Linked DNA regions of Coturnix japonica. The protein of the gene in region 2 interacts with the protein of the main gene of each other region in a pairwise test. Links are inferred from orthologs where the notes say so. Each region holds a gene or a part of one and is shown on either strand. Other genes may lie near its edges. The genes, in order: IFT27 and HSPB11.

Region 1 (4,346 bases), on a different chromosome or scaffold from region 2:
AATGATAATAAAGAGTTCCCAGATTGAGGCTGAATTGCTGTTTGTTTTAGAATTTGTGTTTAGGAATCTACCCTATAGCCTTTACCTAAGAACTCATGTTTTCCAGGTGTGGTGACACAAAGAATATGACAACATGATAAGGGAGACTGAGGTGCATTGGCTGTTTTCTCTCCTTAAAATACACATACGCTTCAAAGCTGCTTAATCTGGTAACATTCCTCGATGAACTCTTCTTGCTGACCCTGCTAAGTGAGCAGCTCTTGCTGACTCAATGCTGCTGGTGGCTCATTAGTTGCATCCTGGGCATAACAGAAGCAAATGTCACTTGGCTGGAAAGGAAGCCTGCTGATTCATCCCTGTATGGAAGGCAAACTAAAGGGCTTTCATTTTTGCTCCTCTAGAACAAAGGTTTACTGGTGTCACTTGCATAACACTTTGGGTAAATTTCTGCCCTTCTTTGGCCCACTGTTAGAAAATTCTGCAAGACCTAAAGTGACAGCAGAGAACTGCAGAATTCACCTAAGCCCAAATCATTCCACAAAACAGATCACAGTCCCTGCAAAACAGAGCCACGTTAATGTTCTCAGGAAGCTTATCTTCTCTTCACATATCCTTTCAACAGCCTGGATAGTTCAAAGGGACAAAAACCAGGAATTAAGTATCTCAGTGTTCTAGCTTTACCCTGCAAAGAACACTCATGACAGTCAAGCTGGGAACACAAACTTCCTATGTTATACTGGTAATAAAAAAACCCTCAGAAAGGGGTACATTCTGGCCCTATTAAAATATCCTAGATGGTGTTTTGAAGGAGATTGGTAAGTTATCCCCTCACATCATATTTCAAAGAAGAGTATTTTGGATAGTTACAATTGCTACTGGATGTACCAACCAAAGCAGTTCTTGTTTAAACATTTTTAGCATGCTTGCTTACTTTGAGCTGAGTTGGGTTCATAATATTTAGACAGGAAAATCTGGTAAATCAGCCTGTTTGTTCCCTGATCAGTTCAAGCTTGTGCTGAAGACAACACTCTGTTCTGAGTGGAAGCTATTCTGTATTTCAATAGATAATTAGATCTGTCTTTGTAAAATGAGATAGAAAAGCATACACAGCTACAAACTCTGCAAGCTTCTTTTACTTTCAACATCGAGTGCAAATTCTTACCTAACGTGTTCCTTTTCTTTTATTTGGCAGCCTCAGCTTTTTTTTCCCCCCTCTTCTTCTTTGCCATTCTCTTCGCCCATTATATCATTACACTCCTCCCTCAAAATAAGTTTCCTTGCACTTTCCATTTAGTTTGGTCTCGTCTGCAAATACTGCATCCCACAGAATTTATTCCATCCATGTTTCTGTTATTCTGCCAGAAACCATTGCGTGTCTCCGAAAGACCTACTATGGACAAATACGTGTTTTACAAAGAAAACCCTTTCATGGTGTCTCCAAAGTAAACTCAAACAGTATCTTCCTCTGTGTTTGTAAATTACCCTTGAGATAACACGGGGATCGCTTTCTATTGTCAAGTTAATAGCATCTGTTCTGCTAACAAAAGTCCTTTCCCCTCTGCTGTTCTCCTTGACCACGGTGCAGCTCCCAGTACTGTCAGCCGTTCTATTCTTCGTAATCATTTCCTTAGGTACACAAGAATTTCTCGATCTATCTCAGATGTTTTTGCTTCTACCAATGTAATTGTATTCTCTTGTTCTCTCCAGGTTGTTGTGGTTTCTCGCCTCTTACATCTATTACATTCTCTCCTGAAAGAAAGAAGTTATTTTGCCTGGACTGCCGCATTAATTCATTATTTTCAACAAGATACAGGTACTATCCTAGTTCTTAAGAGCACTACAAAGGGATCTGTTTCTATGACATGGAACAGAGCGTTTCTGTTGTTTGCATTGTGAGCAGAATTGAAAGGGCAGCTTCAAACCCAGTTGGGATTAAGAACATAACTGAGTCATACAAAGAAAACCCGTGTGAGTTCGGGAGTGTGATGGAATCAGCCTTTGGTAACATTAAAGAAAACCTATACCAGGATCTGGAAACTACCAAATGGGAAGTGATGTGCAAGTCTCAAATCTTGAAGATGCGTAAGGTAGTCATGCTGTCCATGGTAACTGTCAACAGTAACAGCAAGGAAAAGCACTCTTTTGCATTTGCCAAAGCTTGCACTTGGCTTTGTGTGAGCCGACAGTTCGCTACTTCCAAGGAAAAAGAAAAGATTTAATTCTGGATTAATTCTGGAAAACAAAGTCGAAGCAAAGAGTTAACTGGAGAGTTGTCAGCACACCAAGGTTTTCTGGTTCTGCGCTTGTGGCTGATACCATGCGCTCAATGAAAAGCCTTTCCTTCCTGTAGCATTGACAGTCGGCTGAATTTACTCTCAGCACCTCCGTAATCCATCCTGACTGAACAAAGCGGAGTCTTCACCTCACTTTCCCCCCCCTCAGAATAACCTCCAGCTCACTTAGAGGGAAGGAAGGCTCCGTGCAGCAGGCACCCTTTGCCCTCCCCCTCCATCCTCCCCCACCCACTCGCTTCAGACCCTCCCCTTCCCCAGCCGATCTCACCGCACTTCACGCCCTCCCACGCGAACGGGGGAGGCGGTACCACCGCCCCATCCCCCGGGGTGCTGCCCAATCCTTTCCCGTCACCTCCGCCGATCTGCCAGGCCGCACGACCCGCCACCAACTCCCTCCCAGAACTCCCACCTCGTTAAGGGGTCTTGTCCATGCCTGCGAGGCGGCGGAGGCCGGACTCACCTGCCAGCAGGCACTTGGCGGAGAGCTTCACCATCGCCCCGGCCCGGGGAAGGCGGATGCGCCGGGCCGGGAATGCTGAGGCGACCGCCACCACGCTCTGCCGCGGCCCTAACAACAGCGCGACCCTAGCAACGGGGCGCCCCGCCTTCCTCCGGGACGCTAAATCCGATTGGCTACGAGCTCTGCTCGTCAAGGCTAGCCGGAGTTACTATTGGTTGCTGTGTCTTTGCCCGCCCTCCGAGCGTCCTGTCATTCAAATCCTGGCTCCCGCCCTTCTTGTGGCTGAGGCGAGGCGGAGGGCGGTGCCGCTGTGATAAAGCGGAGTGTTTTCTGCCCAGCAACTAACTACGTATGTAGGAACCGACTTGTTATTGGATAGAGCTCAGGGGACGGTACCACCTAGCCAAAATTAACTCACTTGAAAAAGAGCAGAAAAAAAATAAAGCTGCGGGCAAAAGATTACAGAAGAGGAGTTTGGAAGCACTAAGGAGCAAAACGACAAGTGTGAGCGAGGCAGAAAAGCTTCCGTCCTACACCTATCTCCATTCCAAGCAATGGGATCTTCCGGGCAGAAGAGCCCTTCACTCGCATGTATGGCTGGGTGTAGGGCCGTGTAAATGCATGGCTGTGGGGTGAGGCTTCAAGTGTGTTATTTGCGACTTGGTTTGCCCACCATTCTTCATTGTGCTCCATGGAAGCTGCTTTTAGCAGGGGGTTGGACTAGGTGATCTCCAGAGTTCCCTTCCAGCCCCTACAGTTCTGTGATTCTATTTGTGCAACCCTTGTGTTATCCTTGTTTGTTATATTGTCCCAGTTTACTGACAGGTTTGCATGCAAAGGCTTTGAGGCTTCATTATGATGTACTTGAGATTTATCGATCGCGTCTGTAATGTAAATGTAAAGTAAAATCCATCAGCATTTACCAAGGTCTCAAAACACCTCTACCAATTCACACTGGGGACCTTTACCAGAAGGCATAGATTATGCTAGAAGTGGAATTCTCATTGCTATTGAGAATTTCTGCTTTGAACCTGGCTATATCCTTTATCACATTCTTTACTTCGAGCATCCTGGTACTTTATCTTGTTCCCCCTTTTCCTGCTTAGCTCTGCATGCACATAGCATGCAGCAAGGACTCGTATCCTTGCTATTTTTCAGCTGTCCTTTTGCCCCACACATTATATATATATTTTTTCCTCTGCTTCATTTCTCGTAGGTAAAAGTCCTTCCCTTGTCTGCACTGACAGTGATAGATTAAGGATGGAATTACTTATCTACACCTTATAATCCAAGCAGAATTGCATTCTGCTGTTAGCAGTCCACAGGGGTTGCTGCTGAATAAATTGCAGTACTGGTAACTGTGCTCACTGAAGCTTCTCTCATCTTGAATACATGAAGAGGGAGGGGGAAAGAAACCCTGCTTGCTTGAAGAAAACCCAAGTCAAACAACACAAAGCAGAATACCAAAAACCACAGCACAGGATGAGGTTCTTACCCCAGAGAAGTGTTGATTGGGTTAAATCCTGTACTTAGCAGCTAGAGAGAAATAGAGCACTCCTTTACTCACCCATTTCATTTCTTTATCAAATATA
Region 2 (3,999 bases):
TACAGAAGGTCAAGGGATAAAGCTTTCACAGACCTGAGAGTTAAAAAAAAACAAAACAAAACACTAAAATCTCAAAATCCAAGAAACAACTAGAAAGAGAACAACGCATGTGCATTTAGAGAGCATCCGTATCGTGGTTCACCATTCATGTGTCTGGAGATGTTCAGCTCTGTTGTCAGTCAGCTGTTATGACTGGACACCAACATCTACATTCTTTAAGAATACGGTGCAGGTTCAACCTTCGTGGTGGTGACATTTGCAAGAGCCAATTTCAGGCAAAACAACTGATTTCACATCATTAAGTTTCTCTGTCTCTCTCGCATACAAACCATGTTCCTAAACGTTCAGTTTCTCTCACCTCAGAAGGCTTCTGAATGACACAATCTCTGGACATTTGTTTCTATAATATTTGTTATGACAGTCACAGCATAAAGCACTGACAGCTGTGACCTGATTTCAGAAAATATTTTTAGAAACAAAGGATTGATCTGCCGTTACTCGAACAAATAAACAAACAAACCTCTCAGAGCAGCACAGCTCTCGCTTGGTTTCTGTTCCCCTCTGGTTATTTGCAAGCATTAGTAGCTTACATTCATCCTATTAAACAGTTTATTTTGAGTTAATGAGCAAATTTCCAGTATAAGAACTTCTGAAGAGCTTCTTTGACAGTAAGAAGTAATACCTCTCATTTAAGTATTTCACACCTTTTCTACTCAGAGTGTAAGGGAAACATCTCACAGGAAACTGAGCTTTAATTCATGTATTAACAAAGTCTGACCTAAACACAGTTTGTAATAAATATTTCTTATGATAGAGATACGAAAATATAATACCAAAAAGAAGAGGTACAAATTTAAGCCAGACTTAAGTGTCTTCTGCTGTGCCCTCTGCCATCACCCTGTGCACCGACACAAAATGATCGAAGGCGGATTTGATGATGAATCGCAAATAAGTGGCCTGAAAATCAGGAAGCTGTAAAGAAAAGGAGAAATAACGTTAGCTCATTCTTGGTAGTAACGTAACTATCAAACTACTTACAGAAGCTCATGACAAAGATAGAGATGTTTGTTTCCAAATGAGAGGTAAGTTCAGTTCTTTTAGTAACTTGAGGTGCCATTTCACACCATCATCAACAGAGAAGCAGCAGCAAAGGGCAATACATCTAATGTCAGCTTGGCAATAATCGTGTCTTTCTCATAGCTTCCACCCAGTTAGTTTAGACATCCCACCCCATGACGGTGTATCCCGTGTATACTCACAGGAAATTCTTCCATTTGAAGCTGTCCTTCCGTGTGCTGCAAATCTAGAAAACATGGGTTTGTTTTCAGCAAATAATAAGGAACAGGGTGCAGTGCTGGGAGAAATTCACCAGGTTGAAGGGCCTGTAACCCTCATGCAGCATTCTATGTCTGCAAACAGCAATGTAGCCCAAGTGCCACCGCTTCATGCTCAGAGCTTTACCTTTTTCAACGCACTCTTTAAAGTCTACTGGGTCTTTAGATACGCTTCTTTCAATCCTCAAGCTCCGCACTAAAATACAGATGCATTTAAAGTATCAGTATAAATGCTGAGGTTTACGGGATCTTTATGTTTGTTGCATCATGTTTCATCTACAAAGTACCTTATAATTAACGCCTGCTCTAATGTAGGGGATAGGAAGTGTTTCAGAGACGTGGGGATGTGACACTGAGGGACATGGGCAGTGGGTCATGGAGGGGGAAACTGAGAGGTCTTCTCCAGCCTTAATGGTTCTGTGATGTATTAATGCATTAATGTGTATTAAATGTGACTATTCAGAACTAAGACGGTGCTGTGAGTGTGTACATATAAGCAGAGATATGTGCCCCAAACAACGTGAGCCATGTGCTGCTATGGGAGCCCTTACCCAGGTAGCACTGGATGCCCACTTTGCTGATGGTCACACGCTTTGGAAATCCAATGATGAACTCCTGCGGGAACATCCCTGTTGTCGTCCAGAACGTGTCGGAACTTCTGTGGAGAAAACAGCACAAAAGCACCCGCTGCGGCTCATTGCTTACGACCAATAAACAGAATAAAGAGTGGAAAGCCGCTCTATGTGGGGTGCTGTAACCGAACGGCCGTGTGCAGCGGGGCTGCTGTGCTGCAGGGCCGGATTCAGCTCATGGTTATGAGCCCTGTGAGCAGCATCCCACGATCCCGGCCCGCAGCCCTCACCCGTCCGCCACGTTCCGGGCCGGGTGCTCCGTGTCGCTGGATGTGGCCATGACGAGGGCAGCTCCCGCCGCGCTCAGACACCAGTCAGCGGCCCGCATCCTCACCATGGAGCTGGGAAAGCAAAGGACGGAACCCAACAGGAGGCCGGCAACCGAACGGCGCCGCCCCCCGCTGCCCGCCCCCGGCTCGGCCCCGCGATGGGCGGCGGGAGCGGGCGGAGCGGCCCGGCCGGGTGACGGCGTGTCGGGGCGGCCCCGGGGCAGGTAACGGGGGGTCGGGATCCCGCTCAGCTCCCCCCGCAGCCCGGCCCGGCTCCTGCTCGCTCTCGGGCCCCTTCCCCAGCCCCCGCCCCCGGCAGCTTTACCCACCTCTGGCTTCTTTTCGCAGTGCTGGACGTGGGGAATGTCGTACTGGCTCCACTCGGCTGCCGGGCCGATCTACGTGCGTGAACGTGGGGAGCTGCGCGTGGTGAGCCCGGGTGCGGGCGGCATCCAGAACGGGGCCCGCACAGCGCGGCCTGTCCGCCTGTTCCCCGCTGGGTTCTCCGTGGAGCTGCGTCTGAACGGGGAGGACGACAGGGCCAGGAGGCCGAGGACCGAGCACTTCATCTTCACCTACACCAAGGAGGGCAACCTGCGCTACTCGGCCAAGTCCCTGTTCAGCCTGGTGCTGGCCTACATCTCCGACAACGTTGACCACATCGACTCGCTGGTGGGTTTCCCGGAGCAGATCGCAGAGAAGCTCTTTTCGGCCGCAGAAGCGAGGCAGAAATTCACAGAACCCGTGACGGGACTGCGAGCCCTGCAGAAGTTCACCGAGGCGTATGGCAGCTTGGTGCTGTGCTCCTTGTGTCTGCGGAACAGGTAGGAGCACCCAGTGACACATCAGCATCTGTGCTGCTGTGCTTCAGGTTCTCTTGTTTTCTCTCAATCTCAAACATCCACAGTTTCTTTTCCTACTAGAGTGCCTCACCAAGCTGAAAACTGGGCCTGCTTTTAAAGCTTTGCTCCTGCTGAAGTCTTGGGCAGCGATATAATGAGTCTGCCTTCCATCTATACATTCAGAAAGGGCTGCTTTATTCAGTTTAAACTCAAAGGACAGGCACGTTTATCTGCAGTGCCAAGCACAGCAGGAATGTTTGAGCAGAGGTCAATTACCTTGTTTTATCCCTTCAAGGTACTCCCTCTTTTAGTACAGGTACCTTTTATGAGCTCCATTCAGAAATGGAATTACCTCTGGCATATTTTATCATTAAAACAAGCTCGGTTAAATGTCAAATCTTTGAAATCCAGGAAGTAAGACGCTAAGACATGTTTTATGAGCCTCATTTCTAAGAGCCCACTCATAGTAAAACTCGCATTACCTATCAAGAACTGTCTTGTATTCCAACTGCCTTCCACCCATCTGAGCTGCGTGGCAGAGGGATGTGGTGGAGTGCTTCAGTATGGGCACCAGCACAGAGAAAATGCTCTTATTCACATAGGCAAAAAGGTTCCAGGGATTATAGTAAGCACCCCTAATTTCACCGCTGAGAATGTTCTCCTCAGGGATTGCTTTGCCATGGGGGCGAAGAGGTAAATTCAGGAGATATTAGTGAGTTGAGGGATTGTCTTGCCATAAACACAGGGGAGATGGAGGTAGGTGATATTACAGCGCATTCCCATCTCTAAATCTCCTGCTGAATAGTTCCGGCACAGATGCTTGCGTGGCTGCAGAGTGAATCGGATCAGAGAACCAACACAGCCAAAGAAAATAACCCGCTGTGTAACTGCTGCCTGGGGTGCAGCCACAGCTCTGGTTGGA

The links.
Region 1: the proteins of HSPB11 (region 2) and IFT27 interact in binary tests that used the Homo sapiens proteins (3 or more experiments, as listed by UniProt). The two-hybrid records come from large-scale screens. The link is inferred for Coturnix japonica from reciprocal best matches to the Homo sapiens genes IFT25 and IFT27.

Annotation. Positions count from the first base shown.
Region 1 is NC_029516.1:47,142,732-47,147,077, reverse strand, and holds the start of IFT27 (intraflagellar transport protein 27 homolog), read right to left. Parts: upstream 2,901-4,346; 5' UTR 2,789-2,900; coding exon 2,755-2,788; intron 1,750-2,754; exon of another isoform or gene 1,483-1,749; intron 1,391-1,482; exon of another isoform or gene 1,163-1,390; intron 1-1,162. UniProt on the Homo sapiens protein: Small GTPase-like component of the intraflagellar transport (IFT) complex B that promotes the exit of the BBSome complex from cilia via its interaction with ARL6. Not involved in entry of the BBSome complex into cilium. Prevents aggregation of GTP-free ARL6.
Region 2 is NC_029523.1:22,426,659-22,430,657, forward strand, and holds HSPB11 (intraflagellar transport protein 25 homolog), read right to left. Parts: upstream 2,599-3,999; 5' UTR 2,565-2,598; intron 2,460-2,564; exon of another isoform or gene 2,403-2,459; intron 2,308-2,402; 5' UTR 2,304-2,307; coding exon 2,197-2,303; intron 1,993-2,196; coding exon 1,886-1,992; intron 1,531-1,885; coding exon 1,462-1,530; intron 1,304-1,461; coding exon 1,260-1,303; intron 973-1,259; coding exon 865-972; 3' UTR 722-864; downstream 1-721. Other genes in the region: LRRC42 (leucine-rich repeat-containing protein 42), read left to right, coding at 2,599-3,059. UniProt on the Homo sapiens protein: Component of the IFT complex B required for sonic hedgehog/SHH signaling.